Tamandua tetradactyla: one gene and its partner. The protein of the gene in region 1 purifies or fractionates together with the protein of each later gene. This does not show direct contact. Links are inferred from orthologs where the notes say so. Each region holds a gene or a part of one and is shown on either strand. Other genes may lie near its edges. The genes, in order: CLGN and TCTN2.

What was found.
Region 2: the proteins of CLGN (region 1) and TCTN2 purify together in Homo sapiens (affinity purification with mass spectrometry; 3 studies listed by BioGRID and IntAct, with this or other methods). This does not show direct contact. The link is inferred for Tamandua tetradactyla from reciprocal best matches to the Homo sapiens genes CLGN and TCTN2.

What each region holds. Positions count from the first base shown.
Region 1 is NC_135348.1:27,628,075-27,637,081, reverse strand, and holds the start of CLGN (calmegin), read right to left. Parts: upstream 3,685-9,007; 5' UTR 3,541-3,684; intron 3,502-3,540; exon of another isoform or gene 3,404-3,501; intron 3,053-3,403; exon of another isoform or gene 2,925-3,052; intron 1-2,924. UniProt on the Homo sapiens protein: Functions during spermatogenesis as a chaperone for a range of client proteins that are important for sperm adhesion onto the egg zona pellucida and for subsequent penetration of the zona pellucida.
Region 2 is NC_135331.1:8,399,403-8,407,969, reverse strand, and holds the start of TCTN2 (tectonic-2), read left to right. Parts: upstream 1-4,879; 5' UTR 4,880-5,020; coding exon 5,021-5,102; intron 5,103-5,264; coding exon 5,265-5,372; intron 5,373-5,815; coding exon 5,816-5,892; intron 5,893-6,727; coding exon 6,728-6,923; intron 6,924-8,349; exon of another isoform or gene 8,350-8,395; intron 8,396-8,567.

The DNA of each region.
Region 1 (9,007 bases):
GAAGGAAATACCTGAAATTACTAAACTATAATCCAGAAGCCTTGATTTTTTTTGCATGGGCAGGCACTGGGAATCGAACCACGTTGTCCTGCATGGCAGGCAGGAATTCTGTCACTGCCACCATCGCCCGCCCCAGAAGCCTTGATCTTTGATAATGATTCTTGAACTATATAACTTTTATCGTGTCACTGTGTGACTGTAAAACCCTTGCAACAGACACACTCCCTTTATCCAGTGTATGGGAAGATGAGTAATAAAATAAAGACATGCTTGAAAAGAAAATAGGTCAGGAGTATGGGGAAAATAACCCTACATAAACTATGGACAGTAGTTAGAGCACTACTCTAATTATCTTTCAATCAATTGCAACAAATATAACTACTGTAAAAAATAACTACACACAAAAAAAGTGACATCAATGGTATCAAATTTCCCACAACAATGCAAGTGTTGGTGATGGGGTGGTGCATGGGGAGCCCAAATTTTATGCGTGATTGATTTGTAAACCCGCAACTTCTCTAATAAAAAATTTTTTTTAAGTTGAAAAGAAAGGCAGAATGGTCAGTCCAGAGAAATACGACAGAAGAGGCAAGGAGATTTGAAGAATAAGAGAGACTTCCCCTACCAATGCAGGCCTTGATGATGGAGAAAGAACCATAAACCAAGGAATGTGGGTAGCTTCTAAAAGCTGAGAACTGCCCTCAGCTGCTAGTCAACAGAGAAACAGGAACCTCAGACCCATAATTGTAAGAAACTAAAGTCTGTCAACAACCTGAGTGAGCAAGAAAGCAGATCCTCTCCCCCTAGAGCTTCTAGTAAGGAATGCTGCCCCGTTAGACCCCAGATAGACTCGACCTACAGAACTGTGAAATAATAAAACTGTGTTGCTTTAAATTGCTACATTCATGATGATTTTATTCTGGCATCAATAGAAAACTAACTTAATTCTGATTTGTTTCCATATCTTTGAACTGTTCCTACCATCAAGTCTTAGTCGATAAATGCAAAGGCATTTTTCAATAATTCAACTGCCTGAACTTGATGACCATGTACTGCCTCCTTCTTGGAATCCACTCTCCTCCCCTGGTTTCCACACTACTATTTCTGATTCTTGATTCTCTTCCTTTTCTCTGCCTGTTCCCAGTCTTCTTTACAGGCACTTTCTCTAATCAGTTTGAAATGTTGCTGTTTGTTAGGATTCTGTCTCAAGGATCCCTTCTTTTCTTATATTACACATTCTCCCTGGTTGACTAATTATACTTCTTGCTTCTACCTTAAAGCTAGCTAAGGACTCCCAAATCTCATCTACAACTCAGGGGTTAGTTTTTAGCGATCCATTTTGAAGGCTGTCTCAAAGCCTCTATTAATTTGAGCTTTTCTTTCCTTCCCAAACATGCGTCTCTGTTCCCATTAACACCCCCTCATCAACCAAATCAGCCAGTTACTCCGTAATCATCTTAAGACAGTTTTCTTATTCATCTCTTAACATCACTGGTAACTAAATCCACTAGGGTATTTCCTGAATGTCATCTTCTTTCTATCCCCATGGAATAGCCTTAATTTAGGAACCATCATTTCTGAAAAAGATTAGTGAAATCTCATTCTGGTCTTGCCAATCCCCTAATCATCCTGTGTCTTCTGGTTAGCATGATTTTTCTAAAAACACAAATTTTAATTTACCACTCATTTATAAAAATGATCAATAACTCTGTGTACTTATCAGTGTACATTCTACCCTTTCTAAGCTTCATGATTTTTTTCACTAACACTCACCTATTTAATACATTCACGCTTTTACATATGCTATTTCTTCTAACAGAAACGCCTTCCTGCTTTTATTGAGTTTAATGGTAGACTTCAGGACTTAACCAACATTGATATGCCTCAGGAGTGGTTTTGAAAATCACCTATATTGAAAGTTTTAACTATATTTAGTTAAACTAAAACTTTCACTAAATTAAAACTTTCTAGTGGTTTCAGTTACTGAACTAGAGAATAACATAATAAAAGGTACACTGCGGCAGTGCAACGGTGACTCAAGGGCAGAATTCTCGCCTGCTATGCCAGAGACCTGGGTTCAATTTCCAGAGCCTGCCCATGAAAAAGAAGAAAAAAGTACACTGAATATGGCACCAATACACCAAGATTCTAGTTTTATTATTAAAAGGGCAAGTGATTAAAACTCTGGGGCTTTTTTCTCACTTATCAAATGAAAGGTTGAACTAGTTGATCCCCCCAAAAGTTAACAATTCGAGTTTTCTAATTAAGAACCCTAAAACGTGTTAGGTACCGAAAGGAGGCAGTAAGGCTAATTTAAAGTACTGACTTCTAGAGACCCATCAACCTACTTTACATCATTCACACACAAATAATTAACCTTATCAACTAGATAAATAAGATGAAGATACAGAATATCTTATTCTAAGGATTTGGGGAGAAGGTCTAAATGTGATTGGAAGATCAAACTGGTTAGAAGTGAAGGCAAAACTAAACTGAAATGAAGTCAAATTTACAATTAGCAAAAGGAGGGCTGCCTAGCGAGCTTAAATGGCCTATACACAGCGATGTAAAAATGTAAAAGCAAGCAAAACCATAAAACTACAATCAAGACTTCGCTGGTTCTTCTGCATCAAAAAGTTTCCATATAAATTAACCTTCTATTTCTGGCTTTTTCCAACGGCCATTCGATTTATTCTTTTCTCTCTCTCCATCCTGAGCTTTGATGCCATTTGCTTTTAAATCCCAAGCAACTGCCTCCTCGTTGCTTGGGACAGATACTATAAATAAGATCTGCTAAAGTGTCTGAATGATTGTAAACAGGCTCTAAGCGATAATGAGTCCCTAGTAATTAGGGTTTCATTGGATTCAACTCAATCCTCTCGCTCCCTCCCGGAGCGGCGCACCCTGGGCTCCAGGCGGCTCACCCAGCTGTGAAGGTTGGGTGCCTTCGCCTTTACAGAAGGGGGAATTGCGTAAGCTGAGCCTCTGTTGTTATTGTGTGCGATTTTGCGGGGAGGAGCCGGTGGAGTGAGCAGCCCTCGGACGCCCCCAGGGTCCCCCCTCCCCCGAGACCCCCAGAGAGCGCGCACCCAGGAGCTCGGAACGGGACTGAAATGGTAACCGCTGGAATAACGGCCTCGATTCCCTGCGGCCCCTCCGCCCGCAGGGGGCGGCCGCGCTGCCGAGGGCCCCCGGCCTTCCCCGGCCTTCCCCGCCCGGCGCCCGCGCCCGCCGGGACGCAGCAGGTGACATGACGGTTCTGGACGCCCCAACCGACCCGAGGTGGCGGCAACTCCCATCCTCGCATCCACGAGGCCGGGAGCGTCCACCCAAGGGCCTCGTTCGCTGCCGCCTCTAAGCCGAGCCCCCGGAACTCTAGGGCCACCCCCTCACCGGCCCCAACCTGGGTAGCCTTTCGGGTGGCCAAAGAAGTGGGTGCGGCCCGGGAGACCTCACCCGGGGGGAAGCGGCGACGACTCCGACTCCTCACGCCATCCCGGGCGCAGAGGGCTACGGAAGGGGGGCCCCCGGGGCACGCACCTGTCCTGCGGGCCTGTTTTCAGCAGTGGCAGCTCAGATGTCCGAGTCGCTGCCACTTGGTCCCGGCGTCTCGCCAAACCGACCCGCCCGCGGCCGCCCGGGAGCGACTGCTAACCGCGCATGCGCGTGCGGCTGCCGGCGGGGAGGAGGCGGCGGGACGCTGGGGCCACGCGCACCTGCACCGAGGGGCTCAACCGCCGCGGAGGGGCGCCGCGCAGTGCCCGGCGTGAGCGCTGGCGCGGCCGCCGCAGGGGGCGCCCACCCGGCTTGTGGCCGCGCCGCCTCCCCTCGTCTCGGTCGTCGTAACGTGGACCGGGCTTCAGGGTTGCCAAGGAGGGATTCGTCCTTACTGGACCAAAGACTTTCCTCCCCGGAACGTCCGCTTTCCCTACAGCAGGACAATTGTACCTTCTACTGCAAAATTACTGCATCCTGAATTTGTGTATATTTTTGAACAGCGTCCAATATTGGTGCAATCTATAAAAGCCTTAGGCTTTTCCGAGAGTTTGACATGTTAGGAGATAAAGTCGTTGTGGTCAGTAGGGACGCTTCTCATTTCCTATCTCTACGTAAAAATGTCATATATAATTAACATAATGAGTATATAAATAGTAATCGACACAATTATATAATGCATCAATCATATAAATGTTTTTTTTTTCTTTCTGACAGTGCTGTTAAGGATTGCTTACATTGGGTTTTGCATTCATTATCTCTTTTAATCTTCACAGCCCAGGTGAGGAAACTGAACATACCTTGTCTGAGCTTACACAGCCAATGAATGGTGAAAACAAGGTTCAAATCTAGATCTGTCTCGTACAGCTGGTAGTTTTAACCAGTAGGCTAAAAAGGCAGCATAAGCAGTGTTAAACCACAGGCTTCTTTGCCCATAGATGTAGGATTATGCAGCTTTTACTACTACTATTATAGTGAACTTTAAATTTGGTATAATCACGATTTAAATTTTACTGCAACTAAAACATTTAATTGATGAGTCCAAGACCTCGTTTAAAGAGTCTCAGATTAAGGAATAGACAGCTTTTATGTAAACTATATGCCAAAAAATCACTAATCATTTTCACATTGTTCAATAATAAATTCATAATTCCTAGACTGTTAATGCCATCATTCCCTCCCTGCAAAGTGTTTGGATAGTGTTTAACTTATTGCTAAAAAAGACAAATTTTATTTGAGGTACTTTGTAACAATATTATACCTTACATTTTCTTTATTCAGACTCTCCAAGGTCTATTAGTCAACAATGGTTCTGTAGCTCCAAACAAATACACTAGATTTGCTCAAGGGCTTTTGAAAGATTTATTTAAAAATAGTTGTAGTGAAGAAGCTGAAAACCAAAAATTTAAAAGTAGGGGAGTTTTTGCTAGATTTAGCATCATATTGGTTACTCAGCATTCAAAACCTTGGAACATCTGTTTTCATTTGCTAGGCTGCTGGAAGCAGGTATCATAAAATGGGTTGACTGGTAACAACGGGAATTTATTAGTTTACTAGCTTAAAGTTTTGAGGCTGAGAAAAGTGTGCGAATCAAGGCATCATCAGGTGATGCTTTCTTCCCGAAGACTGGCTGCCCTGGAATCTCAGTTCTTCCGGCATATGGCAGGGCACATGGCAATGGCTGCTGGTCTCTCCCTTCTTTTCCATGTGTCAGTGGTTTCAGCCTCTTGCTTTGTAGCTTTCTCTCTCGTGTAGCCATCCCCTTTTAAAGGACTCCAGTAAGAGGCCACACCTTAACTGGAATAATCTCATCAAAAAGGTCCTACTTGCAATAGGTTTACAACCATAGGAGTGGTTGAGATTTAAGAACAGAATTTTGGGGATACACACAGTTCCAAATCACATTTTTAAATATCTTTGGCTTCTACACCCAGTGCCTGTATAAATTTTCTTTAAAATCTCTAAGGTGGTCCCCACTTTTCAGTACTGCTGCCAGTCTTTAATTAAGACTCTCATTGCTTTAGATATTGTTGCCAACAGTTGCCTAACCGGTTACCCCTGCTTCAAGATTCCCATTTACACTTTATAGTGTAATACTCAGAGAGTTCATTCAACAGCTTCCAAGGACTGCTCATTACCTACAGAATCAAGTTTAATTCCTTAACCTGGAATGCAATACCCTACCTACAGCTCCAATTTTTTTTTTTTTGCCACTTATTGAAAGGAAGGTTGAATATGATTTTTCTAATTTTATTTTAAAAAGATAACTTTCATCAGTTTAATAAAGTGTGCTATTCTTCTGATAATTTAAGAGAAGCATGACCTGAAAATGAGACCAGAGTTTTGACTCTTAAGAGAATGATATGGTATTTAGACATATAAGGTGAGGAGTCCTTGAAGGTAATACCAAACAGGAGAGCTGGGAAGTGCCTTGGCATACACAGCTATAGATAGATTTGGGAAGAGTCCAGGTTGACCTAAGCAAGAATGGAGAGGCTGGGTTCATCACAGAGCTGGAAAAACATTAGAAGCAGGAAAAGAACAATGTTCTTTTGGAAGCCTATTTTGTAATCAAAATAATGGCTTTGTTTTATTGGATGGCCTTTTATGTGTAAGGTGCTGTATATAATGGATACACAGATATTATCTTTACTTTATTTATGAAAAAACAGGCCAAGAGAAGTTATGCAATTCGTTCAAGCTCCCACAGATCGAAAAAGCCTATGCTTTGTCCAGAACACTTTGCCTCCTAAAATAGAGTGTCTCTGAGCCAGGTTTTATAGAACTCGGTGAAGTTTTAACCCAGATATAATGAGTGGACCCAGAGCTAGACAATTAAAAAAAATATTTTGTTAAAACCTATTTTTGTAGTCACTTTTTTTTTTTGCCTGGGCAGGCCGGGAATCCAACCCAGGTCTCCGGCATGGCGGGCGAGAACTGTACCTGCTGAGCTACCGTGGCCCGCCCTGAAGTCATATATATTTATAAATGTAATAAAAATTATGGTGTAGAAAAGAATGGGGAAAGGAAACAATCACCCCATTTTCCAATTGGTTAATTTTTGTTTCAAGATATATTTATCTTTGGCAAATAATTTTATCTATCCCTGTCTAATATTTATACTTCTTATTTTCTGTGATTTTTCCTTATTGATTTGTCAAAAATACAAAACAATAATAATACTTGTAATAATGGTTGCTGTTGTTGTTTTTCTGCTAGTGTTAATCAGAATTCTTCAGGTTAAAGTATATGACTGGCAGAATGAACCCATGCGGAAGTTTCTATTTTGTGAACCCCGAAGACATTTCTGAAAAGATAGTAAAATGATGGAATAAGCACAAAAATTTGTTCAAAAACCAAAAGGGTACAAGAGGAAGGAATTAAGAAGGATTAGATTAATGAAGAGGATAGCCTAAAATGTGAGAAGAAAATATTTTCTTGAACATGGAAAAGGCAAAGAATGCTTAGACGTGATGTATGCCAGTGGTGACAAATAATGGTTCAGAAAGGGCCAAGGGGAAACATAAGGAGATCCACCCCTCAAAATCCTGTTCCTCACCCATTTCAGCCAAGGAGCAGCAACAGGGAAACCTGCCTCCAGGTGTAGGAGTGTGGATTGTGAGATGTCAGGTTAGAGAGCCTTGACCTGGGTGAGTGTCTGTCTCCCACCCACAAGATTAGCTCTGCCCTGAAGGCACTCCACCTACCCAGCACATCCTCAAACGCCCTCCCCTGCAAACAGGTGGTATACAATTTCAGCAGCATGCCCCACCCCTCTAGTTTGTGTACTCCTCTTTGTAGCGTATATTGCCTGCTAAAATATTTGTCTTCCATGTCTTTAACACTCATAGGCTTTGACTTAAGGAAATCTTGTAGCTAGGCTGATCCTCTCTCCAGACCACTAAAACTTTCTCCACATCCGTGATAAGGCTGATCACTTTCTTATCATTTATGTGTTCACTTGGAGTAGTAGCAGTAGTAGTAGTAGTAGTAATAGTAGTAGTAGTAGTTCTTTCCTTCAAGAACTTTCCTTTGCATTCACAACTTGGCTAACTCTTAGGCACAAGAGGCTGAGATTTCAGCCTATCTCAGTTTTCAACATGTCTTTTCTTACTAAGCTTAATCATTTCTAGCTTTTGATTTAATGTGAGAGACCTGCAACTTTTCCTTTCACTTGAACACTTAGAGGCCATTTTATGTTTAACTGGCCTAATTTCAATATTGTTGTGTCTTAGGCAATATGGAGGACAGAAAAGAGGGAGAGAGATGAGAGAAATGCCTATTGATGGAGTAGCCAAGCACAACATTTGATTATGTTCACTGTCTTATATGGGTGTGGTCCTGGCACCCCAAAACAATTACAATAGTGGCATCATATCACTGAACACAGATCATCATGACAGACATAACAATGAAAAAGTTTGAAATGTTGTGAAAATTACCAAAATGTGACACAGAGACATGAAGTAAGCACATTTTGGAAAAATGGCACTAATAGACTTGCCTGACACAGGATTGCAACAAACCTTCAATTTGTAAAAAATAGAACATATATGCAAGGTGCAATAAAGTGAAGCACAACAAAATGAGGTATGCCTATATAAAAAATTAATAACAATCTGAGATGAAAATTCAATGTGGTTGCAGTAAGGGAAGTGTTGGGGGTTGCCAAGATCGAACGTTCCCAGAAGTGTACCAAGTTTTTTGCCTTGTTTAGCTGATATATATTATTAAATATTGATTTGCTTTGGTAGTGTGTGAAAGAAATTGAACTTAAGTATGCTCTTAAAATGGTTTAAGTATTATTTTAGGAGTTTCTGGAAGAAGAGAAATAGAATGTGTAATTTTCAAACCCTCATGGGGGTAGAGGAAGGAACAAGAAAATTCCAATAAAATGCAGAAAAGGGGATGTCAGAGCAACCATCTCCAGTATACAGGATGTGAATACTGGATGCAAGAGTGAAGCTTTGAACATAACACTTAGCAGGGAGACTTAAACAAAAAGCAGAATTTGACTAGAATTCTTTAAGCAAGCTACTGTAAAAATCTTGGGTAACAAGTTTTTAATTGACAGAATAAAAGAGATCCCTCCCCTTTTTATCCCTCAGTAAATGAAGTTTTAAATTTCAAGATTTTTAAAAGTCACAACATATCTCATAACAAACCACCTCAGCCAATAACTGGAATAGCACTGGTATGCAAAAATAATAGGAACCTATCATTATTGCTTTCATTGTTTGTGAATAACAAAAATACCTGTGTAAATTGGAAAGCTCATTCATTCATACATTAACATTTACTGATTTTAAAAAAGTATAGGACATGTAGGGTCCTTGGTCTTTAAAAGTTCAAGGCAGAGAAATAAAAAAAATGAAGTAGCAGCATGTGATAAATTCATTAGCATCTTCAGATGTATTCTAATTCTAAATCTATATAAAAATATAATGTGCATTAGAGATTAAGTGCTTGGGTTCTGGTGCCAGACTCCCTGGGTTTAAATCCATTTTTTTAG
Region 2 (8,567 bases), on another chromosome or scaffold:
GAATGCCACGGTCTTCAGGGAGAATGCATTGCCTTGCAGATGCCTTAATTTTTTACTTTTCCTAGCTTCAAAACCATGAGCCAAAAAATCCTTGTTGTTTAAGCTTAAAAAATAATTCTGGCATTAGATAAAAACAAGGAAATTGTTTGCACTTGAAAAATCTAGTTCTACGAAGAAATAGGATATCATAGTAGAAAAAGAATTTCAATGTCTTCCAGCTCAGCCTTCCTTTCACATTGGGCATCCCTTGTGTTCAATCCCAGTAGGTGATCAGCCAGCTTCTGTTTAGAATGCTTATGATGGGGCCTTTCTCTCTCCAGGAGTCAGAGGTCAGACTCTTAGAAGACATGCATACATATACACACATCTACTCTATATGGATTTAGCCAAAAATTCAGATTTCATCAAGACCACCCAGAGAGACAGAGCACGTTTTTACTCAGTGCTTTTTTTCCCTTTAAGTGTAGTCCTTCTCCCTAGCCTTCCTGTTCCCACTTTATTTTTCTTCATTAGCATTTATCTGACACACTGTATATTTTATTTATTGTCTGTCTCCTCTCCTTGGCATAAGAATGTAAGTTCCACGGAGAGTTGGAATTTTTGTATATTTTATTCAGTGCTAGTAGCTATAACAATGATCAAGAAATATTTGTTAAATTAACAATGATTATACTAGCTAGCATTTATTAAGTGTTTATTTTTAATCAGACACAGATCTATGTGTTTCACATATATTAATTCATTTAATCCTTATACTGTTACTATCCCCATTTTACAGATGAGGAAACAGAGGCAGGAAGGAGTTAAGGAACTTTTCCAGTGTTACTTAGCCAGGAAGTGTTGAAATCAGAAGTGTACCTACACAGTCTAATGCCAAAGTAAGCCCTTTTTTTTTTTTTTTAATATCAGTGCTCATTTTATTTTATTTTTGAAAGAATATTCTTCATATAAAGTATTTACCTCCTTATTCCAATAAATTTGGAGCACAATACACAGGAATATTAGGTATTACTTTATCACTTTGAAAAACTTTGAAATAGACTTTCATATTTTTTTAAAAAATGTTGGTATGTAAAAACTGGGGTCCCCTTCAATACTGTAGATTTCATTTTTTTAAACTTATTTAATGGACATGTATTTATTCCTTGGTTTGTTTCACATCTGCAATTTCAAATTAAAAAACTCATTTCTATTTTCTTCCTCCATGTGATTTACAAACCATGTGTTAACAAACGCCAGAGGGACAGCAAAGACTAAGTTTTAAACATTAAGGAAATGAGATGTTTCACATGAGCAGGTGCCTCCCTCCTCCATCTTCATGGAGTTCCACACACCACATGGGAGGCCTGCATGACACTTACATAGCCATATGTGACCATACATAACCCAGTTACATGGCTTTTCCTTTTCTAGCAGAAGTTATAACTCTGTTGCCCTATACTGGTTCCCCTTGGAGAAAAAGATCATATAGAACATGCTTTTAAGTTACTCCACATTATAACCAACCTTATTCCCTGTAATTTGTTATAAAAACATGTATTATGGCAGAGCAAGTTGTACTATTTTAAATTCATGCAAAAATAGATTTAGAGGAAAGAATATGTGAGGCTTTGGTAAACCAAGAAAGTATTTAGCTGCCTCTGAAGGGTAGGATCTTTTTCGGTAGTGGTAATAAAAAGGAAAGAAAACCTCAATTTTTGGCTTAAGCATTTTGATTTTTGAGATAAGATAGGTTACAGTCGGGTTTTTCTCTTTCCTAACCCTCCAATATGCATTCAAATTTCTGGCAAGTATAAGTTGTGACACTATTTTGCTTTTGCTTATAAAATAATTTAGAGCCTCCTGGGGTGTTGCTTTCTTTTAATCCAATGTGACTAGTTGTGTGAACAGCTCAAGAAACATCCTAATATATGAGAATGATACTGGTTTTCTTAAGTAGAATTTACTAACCTTGGACAGAATTATCCAGAGCTAAGCTCTTAAAAGACATGGTCCCACAAGCCACAGAATGAGAAAAAATATTTGCACAGCAAGTCTGATAAAGGATTTCTATTATAACTCTCACAACTTAATAATAGAATAAAACGATTAAAAAAATGGGCAAAAGATTTGAGTGACACTTTACCAAAGGAGAGACACAGATGGCAAATATACTCAATATCATCAGTCATTAGGGAAGTACAAATTAAAACCATAACGAGATACCACTATACAAGTATTAGAATGGCCAAAACCAAAAAATATTGATAATATTAAGTGCTTTTGAAGATGTAGAGCAACATCATCAATACATTGCTGGTGGGAGTATAAAATGTTATAGCAATTTTGGAAAAGAGTTTGGCAATTTCTGAAGTTAAATATATATTTACCATATGACCCAGCAATTCTACTTCTAGATGGAATTAACTAAGAGAAATGAAAACTATGTTCACACAGAAATCCATATGTAAATGTTTCTAGTGGCTTTATTCATTATCAACTAAAAACTGGAGACAACTCAAGTATCATTCAACTGGTGAATGGATAAATAAACTGTAGTACATGCATACAATGAAATACTACTCAGCAATGAAAAGGAGTAAACTGATATTTGCAACAACATGGGTGACTTTTAAAAGCATCAGGTTAAATGAAAGAACTGAGATGCTGCAGGCTACATAATGTATCATTCCACTTATATGACACACTGAAAAAGACAAAACTATAGGGGCAGAAATCAGATTAGTGGTTGCCAGAGGCTGGTGGTGGGGAGAGGGGATTAAAGTCGGAGGGGCATCAGGAGATCTTTTGATGGAATGGAAATGTTCTACATCTTGACTGATTGTGGTTACACAACCATGAGTTTGTCAAAGCTAACAGCAGTGCACACCTAAAATGTGTTAGCTACTGGATGTAAATTATAACTTACTAAACATAACTTAGAAGAAAAGGGATTCTCTTTGACCTCCACCTGCTCTCAGGTCAGGAAGTTAGAACTTAAGCTAACAAAAAGATAAGCCATCATGCAAAGCTATATATGCTAAGTGATAAATTTGAATATAGGAGCATAAGTTTGAGGTAAACAGTGGTGAAGTTCAGAAGTGTAGAAACTAAACTAAACTTTGAAAAATGGATTAGATTCAGGTAAGTGGGAGAAGATGGTTGGATGTGTGTAGGGGACCAGTTTCAGCTGGGAGGACTAAAGTATGCAAAGCCAGGTCAGCTGGATTTGGAGGAAGACGAAGACACTGAAAGCAGGCTAAGGAATGAGAAATTTAAAATTTTTTTTGAAATTGAAATTAAAAAAAAAAATCATTTTACTTAGATTTTGAACAGACACATCCCCATGGTTCAAAATTCTATTAGTACTTACCATTATTTGATATGCTACATATTTATTTATTGCCTGTCTACTCCCACAAGAAAGGAAGCTCCACATAGGCAGGGTTTTGTCTGTTAGTTCAGTGCTAGTGATTGTATTTCATACTTTGTACAGAATATTAACTTTTTAAAAAGTAGATGCTAAGGAGTCAAGAGTCTCTGTTAAGCAAGCATTTTGTTGAGCATATACTATGTGCTAATCATTTATTATTTTGTAACTTTTCAATAATTTCAGAAAAGTTGCAAAAATATTACACAGAATTTATATAAACTGTTTAGCTAGATTTCCCAATTGTTAGCATTCCATCACATTTATTTTATCACTTTGTACATATATATATATAATTTTTTTCCTCCTGAAATATTTCAGAGTACATTGCAGAGGTAAGTGCCCTTAACTTCTAAATATTTCAGTGTGTATTTTCTATAAACAACGTAACCACAGTTCAGTGATCAAAATGGCTACAATACTATAATCTATAGATAATCAAATGTCATCAATTTCTGAGGAAGGCAGAGAGATGCTGGGAGCAGTGTTTTAAGAATGGCCTTTGGGCAGGATTTGTGAAGAAGAGTCTGGAGCTCTTTCCAGTAGGTACCATGAAATATTAATGGATATTATAGGACAAAAAGGTTCTGGAGGCAGTGGAGAATGCTGAATTAAACAGAGATAAATGCTTTTGCTGCTGCAGGATTTAACAATGAAAATTTCTCAGAGGGGAAATGTGATCACTGTAATGATAGCTGCTATGATTACTGGGCACTTGTCACCATGCAATTGTTTATTAAAGAGCAATCCTAGTCCTTCCATGTAGAAGCTGGTGTCTGTAGGCTTTCTTCTTGCTATGTGGTTGAATTAACTCTAAGGATGAGAAAATTCAGTTCTTAAACTGGAGTACCTATATGTCCTCCACCTTTTCCACCACAGTTTTCCCTATTATCAATATCCTACATTAGTGTGGTACATTTGCTACAATTTATGAACCGACATCGATACTCATTATTAAAGTCCATTGGGTTACATTACTATTTTTCCTTTTGTACAGTTCTGTGGACTTTGACAAATGTATAAAGTCTGTGTACATGACTGGTAGCCACCATTACGGTATCATGCAGAATAGTTTCACGGTCCTAAAAATGCCCTGTGCTCCACCCATCCATTCCTCCCCCCAAACCCTAGCCCCTGAACCCCTGGCAACCACTAGTCTTTTGAATGTGTCTATAGTTTTGCCTTTTCCAGAATGTCATAATCGGAATTACACCATATACAGACTTTGAGACTGGCTTCTCAAACCTAGCATTATGCATGTAAAGTTCTTCCATGTCTTTTTGTAGCTTGATAACTCATTGCTTTTTATCTCTAAGAACACTTTCCTCAAGACCCTCTTTAGAATTTAGCAGCCAAAAGCATGTGGAGGACCCGGAGGGATGCTCAGCCTAGGTGCGCTGGGGAGGTGGGGGAGGAGTGCTCTTTTGGCGCTGGACCAATCGTGGTGCGCCGCTCCTCCTGGCCGGCTGCTGATTGGTGGTTGCCATAGCTCCGGGCACTCGCTTGACAAGATGGCGGCGAACGGGCGTCTGAGGCTGGGACTCTGCTTCCAGGCCTTTCGTGGATTCTAAAGCGGGCGCTTCTGGAGAGCGGGTCCGCGAGCACCAAGGCATGGGCTTTCTGTCACCCGCGCCTCTCCTGTTGGGGCTCCTTCTTTTGCAGGGCATCTTAAGGCCGCTGTGGGGTGACCTCGGTGCGTACGACGGGCTGCAGAGCTGGGGCTGAGGGGACGAGGGGTTTAAAGGGCCGAATTTAGGACTCCTGGAAGACATCTACCAGAAAAAGTCATCACACACACCTTAGGCAATGGCTATTCAACTATTAACTCCTTCCTGTCCCCTTCCTTCCCGCCTAGCTTTCGTCCCATCTTTCATCCGTATGTCCGGCCGTGAAGCCAGAGCGTCCCTGGTTGGAGGCACCGAGAATTTGACGGTATCTCTGGCCCTGCTGAAGGACGAGGCAGGTAAAGAGTCCAGGCCTTCTTTTGCTGAGTGTGGGAGTTAGATCAGCTCCAGTCCTAGGAGCCTGGCAAGATGGCATCCTCGGGGCCCCCTGCCTCCATCGCGTGCATAGTCGAGATGGGGAGGGAGAATTACTACTGTAGGCCAGAGAGGATCTGCAATAGGCTTGGTGAGAAAAAGCTTGAAATAAGCATGGCTGGCATCATTGGACTCTCCCTATAGGTGCTTTACATGCATCACCTCATTTTCTTATTAGGAACATAATCTTTATTTTTAACCTCATTTGACAAATGAAGAAATCAAGTTTCAGAGAGGTTGTCACATTAGTGCAAGGCCACACAACTTGTAAAGGATCCAGCTAGGATTCAATCTTAGGCGGCATGACTCACGAGTGCATGCCTTAACTGTTGGGCAATACTGCCTTCTGTTTTAATCTCCTCTATAGGAATGTTGCCAGTTCCTGAGTGTAGAGTGCTGAGCAATGAGACAGGAAACTGGAGTTTGACCGTGACCCCAGGAAGGGTAAGGCCAGAAACAAAACTTTCTCTGCAGTTTCTGTAGAGGTCCACATTTAGTGTTTCTGTTGTGTTTCTCTTGATTTGCTTCGCATTGTTATGAAATCGTGGTCTGTCAGATCTGGTACACACCCATACGGCCTAGAGGTTCTTATCCTAGGGTTAGCAGTCCTTGGACTAGTCTCAAGAGATCTGTGAACTCTGAAATTGTGTGTAAAATGATGTGTATATATACCTTTTTCGGATAAGGGGGACTCCATCTTCAAACAGATTATGATTCAAAGCTTCATAACCAGTGATCTCATTCATTTCTACCCTTATGTATAAGGACAATCCAGCCTGGAAAGAAAACACATCTCCCATTCAATGAGTGTTTATCTGCTGTCTGCTATGTGCAAGATATATTGGAGATAAAAGGATGAGAAAGACAGAATCTGCCTACACCCCAGGAATGAATATTTTAGTAGACTTGTCCAAAGTTATTTTGATGTGATAAGCTGGGAACAGCATTCTTTGGCTTCTTGTGAATTTAATAACTAGCTGGTAGGATTATAAAGATACTAAAAGGGTGCTAGATGAGCTGAATTATGAGGCCTGTGTTTAGCTTGCTGTAAGTATCCCAGAGTTACTGGCTTGTATGTTAAGGTGAGGATTAGAAGTCAGGACTTCTGTATTGTCATAAGTTTACAGGGTGGCATTGAACAGAATTCCTTTATCTTTATATATAATTCTCCTTTTGTGAAATGATCTGAAGCTGTGTGTTGTATTTTCTATTATGTTTACTTACAATTAAAGATGCTGTTTTGAGTCCCTATAAAAGTACAACAATATTTCCTTTTTAGGAAGCATTGGAAGTGACAGTGAGGTTGAAAAGAGATCTTCAACAGTGTTCCTCTAATGAGACTGATTCCTTCTCAGAATCACCATGTATTCTCCAAACTCTTCTGGTTTCAGCATCTCACAATTCATCCTGTTTAGCACATTTACTTATTCAAGTGGAAATTTATGCCAACTCTTCTCTGACCCGTAATGCATCAGGCAAGTAAAGTATTTGACTATTAAAAAATTCAAGTAAAATATTATCTATTGAACTGTGTGTGTGAAGGTGGGTCTATGGGAATTCTGTGCTTTCTGCATCATTTTTTTGTGAATCTACAACTTCTCTAAAAAAATGAGGTAAAAATTATCTAATTGCTTTCAGGCATATAATTTGCTTACAAGCATATATTTTTTGTACTTTATTCTTGATTCCATCTTGCCTTCCTAAGTTTATTTTCCTGTTGTTTAGTATTCTTATTTTGGAAATTTTTATTTATTAATTATTTTACCTAAGATTTATTTCATCTTGTCCACTGGCTGCATCTTTGTGAACTGCTTTATTTATTTATTTTTTCAATCTACTAAATTTATTTTGACATTTGTTCCACCTATTATTTATTTATTTTTAATCCATATGTTTTGCTCATCTGTCCATAAGGTAGATAAAAGAAGCATCAGACACAAGGTTTTCACAATCACACAGTCACATTGCGAAAGCCATATCGTTATACAATCATCTTCAAGAAACATGGCTACTGGAATACAGCTCTACATTTTCAGGCAGTTTCCTCCAGCCTCTCTGTTACGCCTTAACTAGAAAGGTGATATCTATTTAATGCATAAGAATAACCTCCAGGATAACCTCTCAATTCTGTTTGGAATCTCTCAGCCATTGACACTTTATTTTGTCTCATTTCTCTCTTTCCCCTTTTGGTTGAGAAAGTTTCCTCAATCCCTTGGTACTGAGTCCCAGCTGTGCGCTGCTTTAAATCCTTTTTGGAGAACATGAATTGAAAATTAAGCTAATTTATTTCTATGTATTAATTCCTATAACTTCATATATATATATATATATATATATATATATATATATATATATATATAAAAGGAATGGAAAGACTCTAAGTGAGTTTATAACAAAACAGCAGATTTTCTATGAAAGCTTTTGACCTCCAGTTCCTCTTCCCAGCATTAGCTGGTCAGTATTCCTTTGCTTAAAAACACGTACATATGCATAGTAATAAGACATCATTTACAGTATTTTAGCCCTTTAAAAATATATATAACTTTGAGATTGTGCTATATGAATACATGTAGGTCCACCCCATTCTTTTTAGCAGTGGCATGGTATTCTGTTGAGTGGATATAGCATTGTTTAATTAACCAATCCCTTACCGAGTCATTCTCAACGTTTTGCTGTTGTAACTAGTGCGACAGCAAATCGTGTGCACATGTACATAAATCTTTGGACATGGGAAAATGGTTTTGTGTGATTCTTCCCTTCATATAATGTCAGTTTTCTGAAAACAAAAGAACATTCAGGTAGATGTGCCAATGTTGAGGTGTCTGCCCTGATCGGTGTCCATACTTGGCACCTACCTTGTCCCCTGCAGCGCACCTACCTTGTCCCCTGCAGCGCACCTACCTTGTCCCCTGCAGCAAACTCTAGCTGCTCTTGCCTTTATGGTCATCTGGAATGGAGGAAGAAGATTTTGTCTTTAGTAGCCAAGGCCTTTCACTTTAAGACTCTGGCATTGTGACTTTCCTTTCTTATCACATCCCTTTAACAGTATTCCTCTTGTGAATGTAAAATGTAGGTTTGGAAATTGAGGTGGATTTTGCTACTGCCATTCAATGGAATAC